Pelodiscus sinensis: one gene and its partner. The protein of the gene in region 2 purifies or fractionates together with the protein of the main gene of each other region. This does not show direct contact. Links are inferred from orthologs where the notes say so. Each region holds a gene or a part of one and is shown on either strand. Other genes may lie near its edges.

Evidence for each region.
Region 1: the proteins of FAU (region 2) and RC3H1 purify together in Homo sapiens (affinity purification with mass spectrometry; 3 studies listed by BioGRID, with this or other methods). This does not show direct contact. The link is inferred for Pelodiscus sinensis from reciprocal best matches to the Homo sapiens genes FAU and RC3H1.

Annotation. Positions count from the first base shown.
Region 1 is NC_134719.1:62,188,889-62,196,931, forward strand, and holds the start of RC3H1 (roquin-1), read left to right. Parts: upstream 1-4,871; 5' UTR 4,872-5,023; intron 5,024-8,043. UniProt on the Homo sapiens protein: Post-transcriptional repressor of mRNAs containing a conserved stem loop motif, called constitutive decay element (CDE), which is often located in the 3'-UTR, as in HMGXB3, ICOS, IER3, NFKBID, NFKBIZ, PPP1R10, TNF, TNFRSF4 and in many more mRNAs.
Region 2 is NC_134721.1:34,638,016-34,645,729, reverse strand, and holds the start of FAU (ubiquitin-like FUBI-ribosomal protein eS30 fusion protein), read right to left. Parts: upstream 3,136-7,714; 5' UTR 3,014-3,135; intron 1,888-3,013; 5' UTR 1,875-1,887; coding exon 1,800-1,874; intron 755-1,799; coding exon 610-754; intron 1-609. Other genes in the region: MRPL49 (large ribosomal subunit protein mL49), read left to right, coding at 3,205-3,300, 3,483-3,648, 5,827-5,951, 6,949-7,095.

The DNA.
Region 1 (8,043 bases), on a different chromosome or scaffold from region 2:
TTCCCACACACCCCTCAGATAGTGCAGTCATGCAGAAAGTGCACCAAGAGATTCTCATCCCTGAGCAGACACTCTGCAACAAGTTTACATCACCTCGCTCTACTGTGGGACCAGGACCCTACGAACACAGTGAAGTTACCATGAATATAACCACTTCTGCCCAAAGTGAGAGTCTTTTCATACAAGCAAAGGACCTATCCTAGACTCAGGAGCAATGTGCATTTTATACTGCACTGGTTTATTATTTTAACAGGAGGATCTCACATTACCTAGTAAATAATCGACACCACTTAACTTTTTCTGAGTGGCCTCCCACCCAACTACTAAATGTAAACCTGCTTAGCTTACAAGGGCTGAAAATGTCAGGTTCTATGATTACAAAAGGAAGGCACTTCTGAATTCAGGAGTTTTGGAAGTGCACAGAACTGGTTCCTGCATAATTACAGAACTTCAGTAAAACCGAACAATTTTCAGTCTGTGTGATTGGAGGATATCGGGATCCATATTATGAGACTGTCCCACATAATGAGGAAAAGTTGAGGTGCCTTTGCTTTCCTCTTGTTCTGCTCTTTGTTTCTGCAATATTACTGTCTTCTTTAAAAAAGAAAATAATAATAATAATAATAAAAAACTGGTAATGGCAGTTGAAAATAGCAACTCTAGAGTCCCACTTGGCACTGGGAAAATACCAGCATTTGTTGTTCAATTGTATCCTACTTTTTCCAAAACAAATGACAGTGGAACAGTATTTTATTTTGGAGAAATGATATAACAGCATTATGAATTAAACTTGAGCACACCTGTTCAAAGCTGGAGGACAGGTGCTAAATTCCCTTTCTGAATATTAGTGCACATCCTGACCTTCTCATTAGTCTTAGGGGGAAAATCTTTGATTCTAAGCCAACTCAATTTTTATAAATAAATGTATCCCATAGAATCTTGCCTACAATGCCATAAAATATGATCAACAGTTTCTTTGGTTTTGTACACATTACTCAGCCCATCCTTATGTCTTTTTCATAAGTTTAACTTTTCATTGAAGGTGCAATGAAAATGACTATTTCATTTTTCCTATCATGCCTATGGAGTATATTATCTATGATTTTTGAGCATGCATCATTAAACCTTCATCCTTTTGTTTCCTTTGTCTATAGTTCTTGATATTCTTTTGCAAGTTCCTTCATGAATCACACTTTTTAATCCTTGTTTATTAAAGCCATATCCCTTTCTGCTTTGACTTTCCTCCAGTCAGGGCCTGAAACAACCCCCCCTTTATGCCTGGCCCTGCCCTGCCTTTTCCCACCCCTTCTCTGTTCTCATCCACCCTGTCCTTTAAGCTCCACCCCCATCTTACCACCCTTGCTCCACCTCCTCCTTATCCCTATTGCACCCCTTCCCTCAAAGCCCCTGCCCTGAGCAACACAGCCAGGGTATTATTGAGGGCCTAGTGCTGGCAGTAGGGGTTTGAGCATGCCCCTGCACTCACCGCTGCTGTGATGAAATGGAGCAATCTGTCTAGGAGATGGTGAAGTAGAGATGAATGAAAGAAATAATCACTTCCTTTGACCTGCTGGCATTGCTCTCTACTAGTGGGTACCAATAGGCTATAAGCCTTCTTGGCAACAAGGGCACACTGTTAACTCATATCCAGCTTCTTGTCCACTGTCATTCCCAGGTCCTTGCCTGCAGAACTGCTTAGCCAGCTGACTGTATTGAAAGACAATTACAAATCAACAGTCACGCCACAATTCAGGACATTATTGCTGTCATGCTCTCCTTTATGTATGCCAGTGATTTTAGAAATTATTTCTCCTTTCATAAATGATGTCATGGTTCTGTAGTATTAACATACTTTCATATTGATATTGACTTCTTTCATTGTGATGTTATTGTGTGCAGAACTCTTCACTCTTCTGCTTCACTCTTCTGCTTTTGTGAGCTTTGTTTTATGAGAAGTGCAGGAACGTAGGCCCTGATTATGAAAACATACAAACACGCTTAAAGTTAAACAAATGCATAACTGTGAGTAGGATTGGGATCATATTTTGTTCTCTTTGATAACTTGATATGGTTTGATTAGAGAGGTTCAACCTGTATAACACTTCAGAACCATTCAGCTCAGAGAAACTAAATATTGCATGAGGGATGCAGGATCCAGTACACCTGGACTGATTACTTGCTACCCAATTGGTCTTAAGGAAAGGCACTTAAGTATCAGCATATGCATGTAACAAATAAAAAAGCATCTACAGTGCCTTGAGTCAGCAGGGGGAAAACACTATTTGGGGGGCAGCCCTGTAGAGAAGACCAAATGCTCGCTCTAGTCTCCTCTCTGCATTTCTCCCTACTAACTCAGGACCCTGCAGGAGCATTTTTACTTCTTGCAGTGCCTTGCAGGCAATTACCAATATGCACCCATAGCTATCTATACTTTATAGGTCTGGGTGCCTTCCCGGAAGTCAGACAGCAGCTGACCAGTCAGATCATATTTGACACTGACAAGAAAAAGCTGCATTGTGAGTTGGTTTGGCATTTTGTTTACAACTGATTGATTGATGTACATTTTCACAGTTGCAAAAAAGTATGGCTTTTAAAAAAAACTTGCATCATTTTAAATTCATAATTGTGAGAAATTATAAGGGGATCGTATAATGTAATGACCGTAGACAGTGAGGTTAAAGCTTAATAACCATTAAAAACAATTTTTCAACAATGCATGTCAAAATATACAATGTAATTATCCTTGAAAGAAATGCTAAGCTCTCAAGCAACATTTTCTTACCTTACCTAGTATCTGTAAATTCTGAATGTTATTGATGGAAATATTTCTGTCAGAGTCTCTGAAAGTGTTATTTACTAATTAAAGAAAACTAATCTTTCCTAGCCTAATTATTAGCATTCCTTGAACTGTGTCTTTTGTCTTATATTTAGACTGTAAGCTCTTTAGAGGGAAAAATGGCTTTTTGTTCTATTTATGCAGAGATATTTTGGCCTTGGAAAGGGTTCAGAAAAGGGCAACTAAAATGATTAGGGGTTTGGAACGGGTCCCATATGAGGAGAGGTTAAAGCGACTGGGACTTTTCAGTTTAGAAAAGAAGAGACTGAGGGGAGATATGATAGAGGTATATAAAATCATGAGTGGTGGGGAGAGGGCCGATAAAGAAAAGTTATTTATTAGCTCCCTAAATAGAAGAACTAGAGGACACCAAATGAAATTAATGGGGAGCAGGTTTAAAACTAATAAAAGAAAGTTCTTCTTCACACAGCGTGTAGTCAACCTGTGGAACTCCTTGCCAGAGGAGGCTGTGAAGGCTAGGACTATAATAGAGTTTAAAGAGAAGCTAGATAATTTCATGGAGGTTAGGTCCATAAAAGTCTATTAGGCAGGGGATAAAATGGTGTCCTTGGCCTCTGTTTGTCAGAGGCTGGAGAGGGATGGCAGGAGACAAATCGCTTGATCATTGTCTTCGGTCCACCCTCTCTGGGGCACCTGGTGCTGGCCACTGTTGGCAGGCAGGATGCTGGGCTAGACGGACCTTTGGTCTGACCCAGTACGGCCGTTCTTATGTTCTTATGAGTCTGCCACTATAGAGTTCTGGTCCTGGAGTGGTATAATATAAATAATAGTTCTAAAGCACCAGTGTAAGAAAGCAGTTTGTAGAAGGGGAGGGATAAAGATCTGTTTTAAACCCCTTTTAAAAATACATTGTGAGTCAATTAACCTTCCAAAAGGATAGAGTGAAACGATATAGTAGTACAAGGTACTGATCCTTCCACTCGCTTTGCAGACCCCAGAGAAGGCAGCGGGACTCATATGGGCACTGGGGTCTGATCACACAGAGCCAGTTGCAGGACTGAATCCCAGTTTTGTTTAGTTTACTGTGGTGTCCAACACACTAGCGGCTATTTGGCTTGTATAATGTGGCTATTTGGCATATTGAGTGTGGCTAGTTTGCTACAGCAGTAGTCACTATAGTGGTTACTGCTTCAGAACTGGTTGGACACCAGGGGTCCAGTATTTATAGCGCAAGACTGGGCAGCCAGGACTATTGGTTTCTATGGCTAGTATGACCTTGAACAAGTGACAACCTCTGCATCTCAGTTTATGCATCTGTAAAACAGAGGTGTTAACAATAATATTTAGCTTTCACTAAGCATTCTAAATCTCCTGAACTCTGGACACACTAACTAATTAATGCAGTGAGGCTTCCTTAATGCTTGGAAAGTCGTTTAAAATCCCCAAATAGTCACAGGCTTGCTGTGCCAGGTATCATTTGACAAATCCTTGGGTGGGGACAGGAGGACCCAGAAATCTCTTACCTTTGTTCTAAACGATGGTAACAGCTGTATGAAAAGTGTCACAACTTAAGGAAACCAAGGACTTGCCTCTCCGAAGCTGGGACACTTGGCATGCACCGGCCTTGCAACACCAACAGCTGATGCCTCCAATTATGGAAGGCTCCCTTCGAGGGAAAGGGGGGAGCCATTCATCTTTCTCCACCCCTCGCCCAGAAACGTGGGTGACGTTTGGGAGGGAGGAAGCTTTGTGGGGGAGCACCCATTCGTCTCCCTCCCCCTTCGGAAAGACGGGGGTGGGAGTGTGGCAAGAGGAGGAGCCAGGCGGTTTCACCTGCTTGTCCCCTTCTCAGAAAGGGCCTGGCTGTTGTTGCGGGGGGGACGCGGCGGCAGTGAGCTTGCTCCAGAAGGGCGGCTGAGGGGGGAGCCCAGTAGCGGGGTCGCTCCCCCCGCCAGGGACTCCGCTCGCCCCTGCCCCGGCGCGGCAGGAAGAGGAGGCAGGAGAAAGGGGAAGAGGCTCGAGGCCGGGCCGGGGAGGGAGGAGCGGTCCCGGGGGGGAGGCGGCAGACGCACAAGATGGCCCCTGCTGCAGAGGCGGCAGCAGCAGCGGGTCGTGGGGAGGAGGCGGCGGCGGCCGGGCGGCCCCTGCTGCTGCCGGCGCTGGAGGCTGCGGCCAGCCCCGCGTCCCGGAGCTGAAAGTCGCTGCTGCGGGGAGCTCAGCCGTGCGGTGAGTCCGGGCCCCGCGCTCGGCGGCGGGGAACAATGGGGCGGAGGGGGCCTGGCCCGGCGGGGCCGCGGGCTGGCTCGGGGCGCTCCGGCCTGTGTCCCTGCCTCGCTAGGCCTCAGGCTCCGTTTCCGAAGTGCCCCGTCTCCGAGGCGCGGTGGAGCGGGGCGCCGGAAGGGGGAGGCTTCCGTGGCCTCGGGAAGGGGGTGGGAGTCCCAGGGGCTCGGGCCCCTTTGGGGTGGGGGCAGCGGGTGCCTCTTCGGGGGGGAGAGTGAGGCCTGAGGGAGACTCTATCCCCCGCTCCTGCTGATGAGGCGGGGCAAGCCTCGCCGAGCAGATGGGAAGTTGGGGTCCCTGCCCTCGAGGGGGTTCCGCCTCCACACGCTGTGGATTTGCAGAGCAGATGTGGCACACGTCGGAGGCTTTGTTTCAGACCTGTATAGACACACACAGGCCCCCTCTCTCTCTGCCTCCCCCCGGCCCTGGCTCACCCCGTTTGGGCGCCTCTCAAAGTTGTAGGGGACATTCAGGGTGAGCTGCCCCGCGTTTTCTGTGCGGGCCTGGACATTGACAGGCATCGGGGAAGTGGAAGCCTAAAAAGAGCGACCGAACTTGAAAGTGTTTTTGTCTTTGTTTCTCACTGAGTTAAAAGATGGGGCAAGGATTTCCTGCCAGGAAACAGAGCTCTGAGTAGCTACCCTTCTGTATTGGTTGGGGGGAATACCCAGAAATGATGTTTTGTCTTCAGGGGCCATATTGAGTGAGATCTGTGCCATTTTGAGAGCCCACAGATAGGAAAACTGATATTTCTTGTGTAAAATGGTATTTCATTAAATCATTCTCCTGCCCCCCCCCCCCCCCCCCACACACACACACATACACTTCTTTCTCCTGAGCTGTTGTTTTAAAACTTGTGTTGTTTCTCATTATGGAAAAATTGTATTGGTGACATTTTATCAACTAGAAAGGAGCTTTCAGTATTCTGATAAACTGAAAATTGGCCAAACTATTAAACTCATTTTTGCAATTTATGTTAAAAAAGTTGGTTCACTCCTGTCCATGACAGTGCTACTTTTTCACCACTAAGTCTTCTAGTGACTCCTCTTTGATCACTGTATTGTAAAATGACAGTTGGATTATTTCTACATTTATACTATAGTGATGCCTAGTATCTGTGGTATGTAGAAGTATTACCTTTTTCCACTAAACTTTTTTTCTCCTCTTCAGACATCGATTTATTTTATTTTAGGCCCTCCTGCCCATTCTTATGTACTACTTAATATTTTCACTGGTATCTACTTAATTGTTTCACTGACCTCATTGAGACACACACACACACACACATGAATACACTTTTTGCACATGCTTGAGTGCTGGCAGGACTGCGGTCCACTTCTTTGTCACATAGAGAAATTGGCATAAAAATTGTCAATCCATAAACGTGGTAGTTTACATCAATAATTGAGGTGAACATATAGTTTCTATTAAAGTTAATAAGAGCTGGGTGCACCAAAGGGAATTTCCTGAAATTTTCAGCCTATTATTCCTGCCCTGCAAAGGGCTCCTGCAGAGCAGATGCTTTAAGCTGGCTATTTTGAGGGACACTTGCACTTGTTTGATAGTTTCTGATTTCCATGGCTGTCCATAAAACACCTTTGAGCAGCATTAACAATCATGGAGACAAGGAGGAAATCGCTTGGTTTTTCTACCAAAAAACACTTAATTTAAAACAAGATACTATATTTTTGGTTTGACATTGGTCTGAACTGATGTCTGTTCCATGAAACAAAGGGGAGATCTGCATGTAAAATATTGCATTGGCGTTAGGGATGTTAAATTTGATTAATTAGCTAATTGAGTAGTCGATGGAATTTCCACTGACTACTTGATTTGTCAATAAGGGGGATGCTCTCTTATCTTTTTGTGCCTCTCCCTTTGAAATGTACAAGAACCACAGCGGCTTATGTACATTTAAAAGGGAAAGGTCCCCGGCTGGTGAGGGTTCCCTTCCGTGCCTCTTCCTTTGAAGTGTACAAGAGCTGGATGCAGCTCTTGTATATTTCAAAGGGAGAGAATCAGCAGTCAGACTGTACATGGGACTATTTCAATTCCTGCTCAGGCTGTTTCCCGGATGCCCTCTGCCTCCCCTGCCCCCTGTGGAGATGGTGCGTGGGGAACCATTTTTAAGCTGGCTCCCCCCGGAACGGGCACGTGCTTTCCTTCCCCTCCCTGCTGCCTCTCACTGATAGAGGCAGCAAGAGTGGGGGGAGCAACTAATCGAGTTCCTACTCGATAAGCATTTGCTTATCGGGTGGTTGACTAGTCACTTACATCTCTAATTGGCGCAGCTGCACCAGTGTAGCATCATCTCATCAGTATGAGAAGAGCTCTCATGGACACAGCTCTGTCTACGTGGGAGTTAGGTCTCTCTAATTCTGTCACTCAGAGCTATGGATGTTTTGCACTCCTGAGCAATGTAGTTAGTGATTTAGATCTGTAGTGTAGACCTGACCATAATGATGGCTTCAGCCTGCTTCCCAAAGCGTAAGTGTCTGCATGACACTGACCAGCACCACTCTTGCTAACTGAAAGGCTTAACAGAGTTAAACGCTGAAGACATAAATTATTTAAAGATGGCAGTTTTGAACAAATGTTGCTGAGACCATTTGGAGAAGCTTGAACTCATGTTGCCTGTGACCTACCAGCTATCTAGATAAAGACTGTCACAAATGCTGGCAGTCTGGAACTCTATAGTAGTTCTGAATTCAGGAAATAGATACGTCCAAAATTTTGAATGAATTGCTTTCTTATTTATCTGAATATTTGGAAGGAATCTGAAAATGGTGGCAAGGATTGAAAATGTCACTAGTTTGGGACTTGGTATAGACATAGACTTGCCAGAATATTAGTTTCTGTAATTGTGTTTGATTTTGTTTTTAAGCACTTTCTATTTTGAATCTTTTCATTTTAACCATTGCAGAACATTAAGGGAGTTCGTGTTAGGTTTGCACTGACAGCTGGGC
Region 2 (7,714 bases):
TATTGGGCATTATGTAGAGTGTATATGGGACAGTTGACCAGATTAATCCCAACTTTGTCATTCCAGGGCCTGTGTTTTAGTCACTAGTCGTGGCTACAGAACTGCAGTGTACTTTCAGTCTCAGGCTGAGACTGTGCTGTGGGGTTGTTGTTCCTCCCCCCCGTGTGCGCTGTGGGTTGTGTTTTGTTTTGATTTTTGAGGGAAGTCTACATGGCCATCCAAAGGGCTGGCAAGGTTCCCGTGGTCAAGCTAAGCCAAATGGGCTCAGTCCTAGGCTGGAGAGAAGTTTGTTCTTTGAAGTGTTCCATTCACTCTGGGGCCTCAGAGTGCTCTCTGCTATTGGATCCTCGTGCACTGGGCTGAGACCCAACAAGCTTGTTTTACACAGACATCCTCCATGTCCTCTGGCTTTTCCCAGGCACCATTCAGAGCCACAGTGGTCTCACTCTAGCGTGACCCTGCTGTAGCTGGCAGTTAACAGCTTGACTATCCACTCCTGAAATACAGCTAATTAGGAGAATGGGATGGGAATTCTTTGCATGCCTCCTCCACTTGTCCAGGGGCCTCATGGAATTTTACTTCAGTACACCAGGGCCTTTTAATACTTACCACCCAACATGCGAGCAGCCACCTCCAGTGTGGCAAGTTCGCTGATGCCACATTGCCCAATGATAGCTTCATCCTCCAAAGGAGTTCCACCCAAGAGAACCACCTGATCTTCTGGTGCAATGCCTTCCAGGGACTCAATGTGAGCCTGATAAGAGACACAAGATACAATCAGCTAGGGAGGCTGGGAGAGCAAAGCTAATCAAACACCTTCCACAAGTCAGTGGGTATCAGATTCCCCTCCATGGCACAAGGCAGAGGGATGTGACCCAAGGGGGCACACCATTCCTGATCAAAGACTTTCTCTCTGGGCAGCACAATCCTAAAAAGGTTGAGTGGTAGAATGGAGCTCAGATCCCAATACTATTGAACAGAAGTGAGATGGACTGATTTACGAGGAGAGTTAGAGCTGTCACATCTGGCTTTGCAACGAAAGAGAATGCATTCCAAAAGTGTCTGAGGACATGAACGAGGCAAATGCCATGGAGGGGAGAGGAATCCCTGCACTAAGGCATACAAGCTATAGAAAAGCTGGCTAGAGTTGTTTAGAGTGGCACTGGGGAATAGTACCACTAAATTATGGGATGAACTAACAGCCCTTCATTCAAACTAAAAGGCCAAATGCAATTATCCCAATTATAATTTGGGATCACTGAAAGTGCCAGATATCAAGCAATCAGGAATGTTTACTATTTTTTCTGAAGGACTAGACACTAGGGAGTACTGGTTGACACCAGTACTAATTCAAGAGGGGAAAACAATCCCACCAGAGCTCTATCCCACCCTACTTCCTTCAGCACTGCATTTTCCAACACCATGCTAGGGCACTGGAATCGGTACAGACTCAGAGTGCTCTTTAATTATTCAACTCCAGAACATCTTGGTTTTCCATCCAAGTTCTGGTCTAGAAAGCACATGCTTAGCTTATAATGTCAAGATCAAAGCCTGATGTGGTCCATCTTTGGGCAGCCATGACCCTAATTCTCACAGGGCTACTTTCAACACAGACGAAGCAGAGGAAAGGGACATATGGTGCCCAATACGTTCTCTGCCAGTATTTGTGATCAGAAGTCAGCAGCAATTCTGCCATCCCCTCTGGACAGGATCATTCTGTCAAAAGGATGCATTGAAAAGCCTGACAGAACGGTTAAGCGTGGCATAAGACAGAATGTGGCTAGGGAATCCTTCCTTACCTTAAGGTGAGATATTGTTTCCTGTCCAGACACCTCAAGGGTGTGCAGGTTCTGAGCACGGATGAACAGCTGCATGGTTCCAGTCACGCTGAATGGACAGTACAACCAGGGTTAGGGCAAATTACTCAAAATCAGACAATTTCCACAGCAGCCTAAAGATATTAAGTCTTGCATTCTGTGCCTTCGTTGCATTATACAGCCTGAGAGAGACAAGCAGCTTTCCTGTCAGCTCTCAGCAGCTACCCAATAACCTACTGGGAGCACTAAAGATAAAATCCAAACAGAAAACAAGCAGACACTGAGTCAGTGAAATACTTAGGAATAAAAGTTAGGAATTTTGACTATCAGCATCTCTGCTGTAGTCCATTAGACTCTACTCCCACCCTTCCTGAGCCAGTGACAAACCCTGAAGTCCCGTCACTTGCTTCAACACAAGATCAAGTGATGGAATTGAGAAGACTGGACTGCCAGCTCCCTTCTCTAGATGTGAATTCCATATTGAAACATGAGTTAAATGACTGAGCCTGCAGCAGTAAATCATTACCTACAATGCAATCAGGATACCCAAATCCCAGCAAAGGCAGATATTTCAAAAGACCCCTGAACTCTGCTTCCACTGCCCAGACCAAGCACTGTCTAACCAAAGTCAGTCTCTGCACCTTCCCAACGATGGCCCAGGTTTCACAGGTAGCAGAGCAGCTAAGGCACAAAGATGCTCCTTCCCAGATGGACTTCGCTACCATCCTGGCAACAGACAGAGCTGCTACCGCCTGGGCCGGGATTAGTCGGAAGGGCTGTGCAACACGCAGCCCCCCGTAGCCACTGAAACAGAACCCAGAGGTTCTGCCTCCCAGCCCGCCCCTGCCCTAAAACCCGCTGACTCCACCCGGGGACAGAACCAGGAGGGGTCACTGGGGAGAAGCGGTTAAACGTGCCCAGCCGAGCTGACCAGCCCGGGATCTCCTGGCGGGTCACGGTCCCTGACGGGAGTCGGCCCCAGCGGGCCTGTCAGCCCAGCCAGGCGCCGGCCGTAGGGACTTAGGCTGCATCTCCGCTCCCCCCTCACTAACCCCGCCCTACAGCTGCCAGCCCCGCGCCCAGGCCGCTCGCCGGCTGAGCTCGCAGGGGACGGGTGAAGCGCTTCGTGCCCCGCCCCTCTACATCCCCCACTCCAGACCCGGTTCAGGCGGGAGGAACACCGGCACCTCGCTCACCACGAGACGCCGCCGCTTCACAAGATGGAGCCGAAAAGAATTTAGCCGAGTCGCGCGCACGTTCATATACGTACGGCGGGGGCGCGCGCACTGCGTACTGCGTCACGTCACACGCGACGGCTGTCGCCCGCGGAGGCGCCAGATTTTTACGTCACAGCCCTTCCCACCTTCCAGCCGCAGGCGGCAGCAAGATGGCAGCGGCCATGTCCCTGGCGGGGCTGAGGAGGCGGCCGAGATGCCTGTGGGGCGCGGGGGCTCGGCGGCTGCTGCAGCTGACAGCCCGGCAGGTACCGAGGAGAGGGACGCGCGGGTGGCTGATTCGTCCTTGGCGCCTGCAGCTTGGACCCGCCCCCCACAGCGCTGCGCGGCTAGAGCCGTGAGAAGGCGCCCGCCATGGGCCGGGCTGCGCGTGGCTTCTGCAGGCAGGATGGCCTGACCGTTATTCCCTCCCCCACCCCGTGCGTTTCAGAGCCAGTCCCGGGACGAACCTGAGACCCGCGATCCTCACTACCCCGGGATTGTCGAATCCACTGAAGAATATAAATTTGTGGAGAGACTCATTCCACCCACCAGAATTCCTGCTCCCCCCAAACACGACCAGTACCCCACCCCGTCTGGCTGGAGACCTCCATCAGGTAACCGTATAGATAGGGCATCTGTCCTGGAGCTAGGCTTGGGAGGAGTTCATCACTAACAGTCCATTTCACGACATGCACACAAACCTGAAATATTTTCATTGATAACTGACACAGCTAGTCAACCTAAAAACACTGCTTAATAACTTAATTTGGTGTACTATTTAGTTTGTATATTTTAAATGTGATAAGTTTGTATGTTAACAGTTTAACTTTGAATTTCAACATGTTTTAAGTTTTCACAATTGTGGGAAATTTAAATCAATAAAATACTTAGTCCACGATTTTGCACAACTGGAAATTTAAATTAAAACATTATCTATCAAAACAAATTCCACTCAGCCTACTGGTAGCAACTATTTTGTGCTGATTTAGCATGCCAGAGCTGGAATACTACACAGCATTGACCGAGAGCCAGAGATTGTAATGTTGTGACAAGGGTGGGCAATAATTTTTAAAAGGGAGCCACTTCATAGATTTCTAAAGGGGACCTGGGCTCCCCTGGAAGGGGTGGGACAGGGCAGGAAGAGTTCTCTGCCCACAGATCCTGATTAGCCTGGGGGTGGGGGAAACACATGAAGTCTCTCCCCCCACTTACCCCAAGCAGCTAGAGAGAAGTGCCAGCAGTTTTAAAACAGCTGGCAGTTCCCTCTAGGCACTGCAACTGAAGACTTCGAGCACTCTCCAGGCCAATCAGAGCCTGGGAGCATGTGAATTCCCTCAGCCTCTGCCCCCGCCCTGCCTGGGGCATGTGCTGGCTAGAGAGAACTGCTTCTGTTCACTGTGATGCCATGCCCCTTGGGTGGGAGGAGACTTTATCAGGGCCTGGGAGCAGAGGCTAGAGAGAACAGCAGGTGATTCCCTCTGGTGCTGTGCACCCTTGGGGGGTGGGGAAAGGAGACTTCACACACTCCCATCCCCAGGTCTTGATTGTCCTGGGGATGGGGGAAGCAGCAGGGCAGTGGTAATCTGTATCCACCAGCTGATCCAGCCTTCAGAGGTTCTCTTACCCACTCCTTTGTTGCAAGGAACCCATCTTTAGTCTGAATGTAAGTATCTCAGAACAGCCACTGCTCTTAAGTGAAGGGGAACGCGTGTCAACCACTGTTATTTTCCATTAGATTGTTTTTTTTTCATGTGATTTTTAAAGTGGTGGGTTTTAGTCATGATATATATAAACCAGTAGTGGGCATCCTGTGCTTTGCAGGCCCACCTTTCCCCTCCCCCACCCACCCACACTGAGGCACCAGAGCCCCTCACTTAACCTGCTCCTCCCTTCCAGCACTTTTGGAATGCATGAATTGCCTGGTTCATGCTCTGTCCCTCCTAGAGCTGTGATGGAGCAAGGTGGGCACTGAGTGCAAATCAGGCAATTCACACATTCTGAAACTGCTGGGAAGGGAGGGAGCAGTGTGTGACTCTGGAGCCTCAGTTTGGAAGGCATGTGGGAGAGCACGAGGGGTGAATATCCAGAGGGCAATGGGTTACTGCAGCCCACTGAGGTGAAGGAGGGCCAATCATGTGGCCCACCCATTATTTGTAATTGCCCATCCCTGCTACAGAGATATTTTGGTATGAGGAAGTTTTTATGCAATAACAGGTGCCCTTTTGTCTCTGAAACCTACATTTTTTAGGTATAGAAAGGTACATTTTTCTAGGACCAGAAGGCAGTCAAACAATAGCAGTCTCTCCTGACGGCCCCTAATGCTGGCCTCGTTTCCTGTAACCTGAAAGATTTGTGATTTTGAGTATGGTACAGAAAGAGACTAATGCTTGTAGTAGTCCTTCCATCAACATAGGCTGGCTGTTGGAATACTTTATCCTATGTTTCTAAAACTTGAGAAATACAAACCTTGTTAGTAGTTGGTATCAGAAAAGTGACAATTTGTTTTTTGGGGGTTTTTCCCTAGTAAAGTTACTGGCATGAACAGGTGTCTGTTCTGCCTTTATGCATAAGGCTGCTAAATTCCGATTGCATATTTACCAGTGACTGCCTTAGCCAGGAACAACCCAGTTGAATTTTTAGATGTTAGTGAAAGGTTGTGGTAGGGAGAGTAGAGTTGCAAACTGAAATGACTTGAGCTTCATCAGAGTCACTATTCTGATTGCAGCTCACTAGTGGAGCATACAGACCAGACATTGTTCTAGCCTAGAGTTGAAATCAATTTTTTTGATTAGATACTCCACCTGCCCTTCCTTACTTTGTAAGACGTTCCCGGATGCACAACGTTCCAGTCTATAAGGACATTACTAGTGGCAACAGGCGGATGACTGTCATCAGGAAAATTGAAGGTGATATCTGGGTATGTGCTATTCCAACTCATTCCACTAGGGACGAACAGCAGATCCACAATTACACAGCTTCTAAAAGTGTACATTCAATGATTCTCCTTACCCCTCAAAATGGAATGCAAATTTAATAGGAGAAAATGTATTGAATGTACAACCGCTCCCTGAGTTATGGACCAACACTTGGTCCGTAACTCGAAGTGTTCGTAACTCGGATCCTATAGAGTTACATGGCAACCACGCTGTTCATAAGCACGGATCGCCGTTTGTAACACGGATCCACATTTACGACTGCTTTGGTCGTAAGTGCGGATGGTCATAAGTAGAGGTGGTTGTAACTCGGGGAGTGGCTGTATTCTGCAAAAGTCTTACAGCAAATCAAAGAATTATAGTGAGGGATCTACCAAATTTGGTCCATTTTGGACAATTTCACAATCATAGGATTTTAAGAGTACATTTCATAATTTCAACTATTTAAATCTGAAATTTCATGGTAATTTGAGTCTTGACCCAAAAAGGGGGAGGGGGAATGCAGTAATGCTACTCTTACTGCTGCGCTGCTGGTGATGGCAGTGCTGCCTTCAGAGCTGAGCAGCTGGAGAGACAATTACATATTCCCCATAACAGCCATTAGTTTAGAAAAAAGCTAATAGGGATGCTATTCAAGTCCAGAACAAAAAGTAAAGTTCTTTTTCCTGAGGAGTTTCCTCCTCCCATGCATGGGTGCAGAAAATTGAGTTATATTTGTAAAAGAATTATCTACCACAACAGGAAGCAGAATACCAGACTAGCAAAACTAGTGACTGCTGTTCGTACAGCTCCTACAACACAATTAACATGTCTGGACTATTTGGTGTTATGCCTGATGCATGCCCAGCTTTAAACCAAGTCAAACATGATCCTAACAGCTGAGAGCCTGGCCTAGTATTTGATGACTAAACCAAATTTTGGGTTGTCAATTTGATTTAGTTAAATAGAGACATGATTTTTGTTCTGTTTCTTTAACTTCAGGCCCTGGAGAAGGAAGTTAAGGAGTTCCTCACTCAGCTTGCTGGGAAACCACCACCTATTCAAGTCAATGAAGTCACTGCTAGCATCCGTATTAAAGGCTATTTTGACAATGAACTGAAAGAGTGGCTGTTGAACAAGGGGTTTTAAATAAACAAACAGTTCTGTTTTCTTTGTGCTGATTAATACTATCTGTCCCCTGCTAAGGATGATGTGTTCTTGCTTATAACTAATCTAGATCCAGATGAACCAGCTGCAAGGAACCACAGGGGCACAAGTTTCCAGTAACCTCTATATTATACCCCATCAAAAACAGGAAAACTCATGTTATCATATTAGCACAATATTGTTTGCCGAGAGAGAACTGTACTACGACACCCACATGAACAAAACTCCATCTTTTGCTCCACAGAAGAATACGGTCTGATTAATTGTATGTTTATTTACACCACATGAAATGTACAGGAAAAGTTTACAAAATGACCCTTCCCTGGGTGATTGTTGCAATAAAGTTAATTTAAAAAAAACTTCTGCTCTATGAGCACCAAGTAAGGAATCATTCATGGGTTGCTGTTGCCAAGTGACTTCAGCTTTTGGATCCCTGTTGGTCTGCAGTGAGGCTAGTTTGAATTCACCACAGACAGGAAATGATTCTTAGACTTTCCCCACTAAAAGAGATCAATTCAGTGCAAAGAGGCAGTAGCCACCATTGGAGATGAAGATCAGACATGATCTAACCCAGTTCATAATGTGGGTTAAGGAAGGAGTT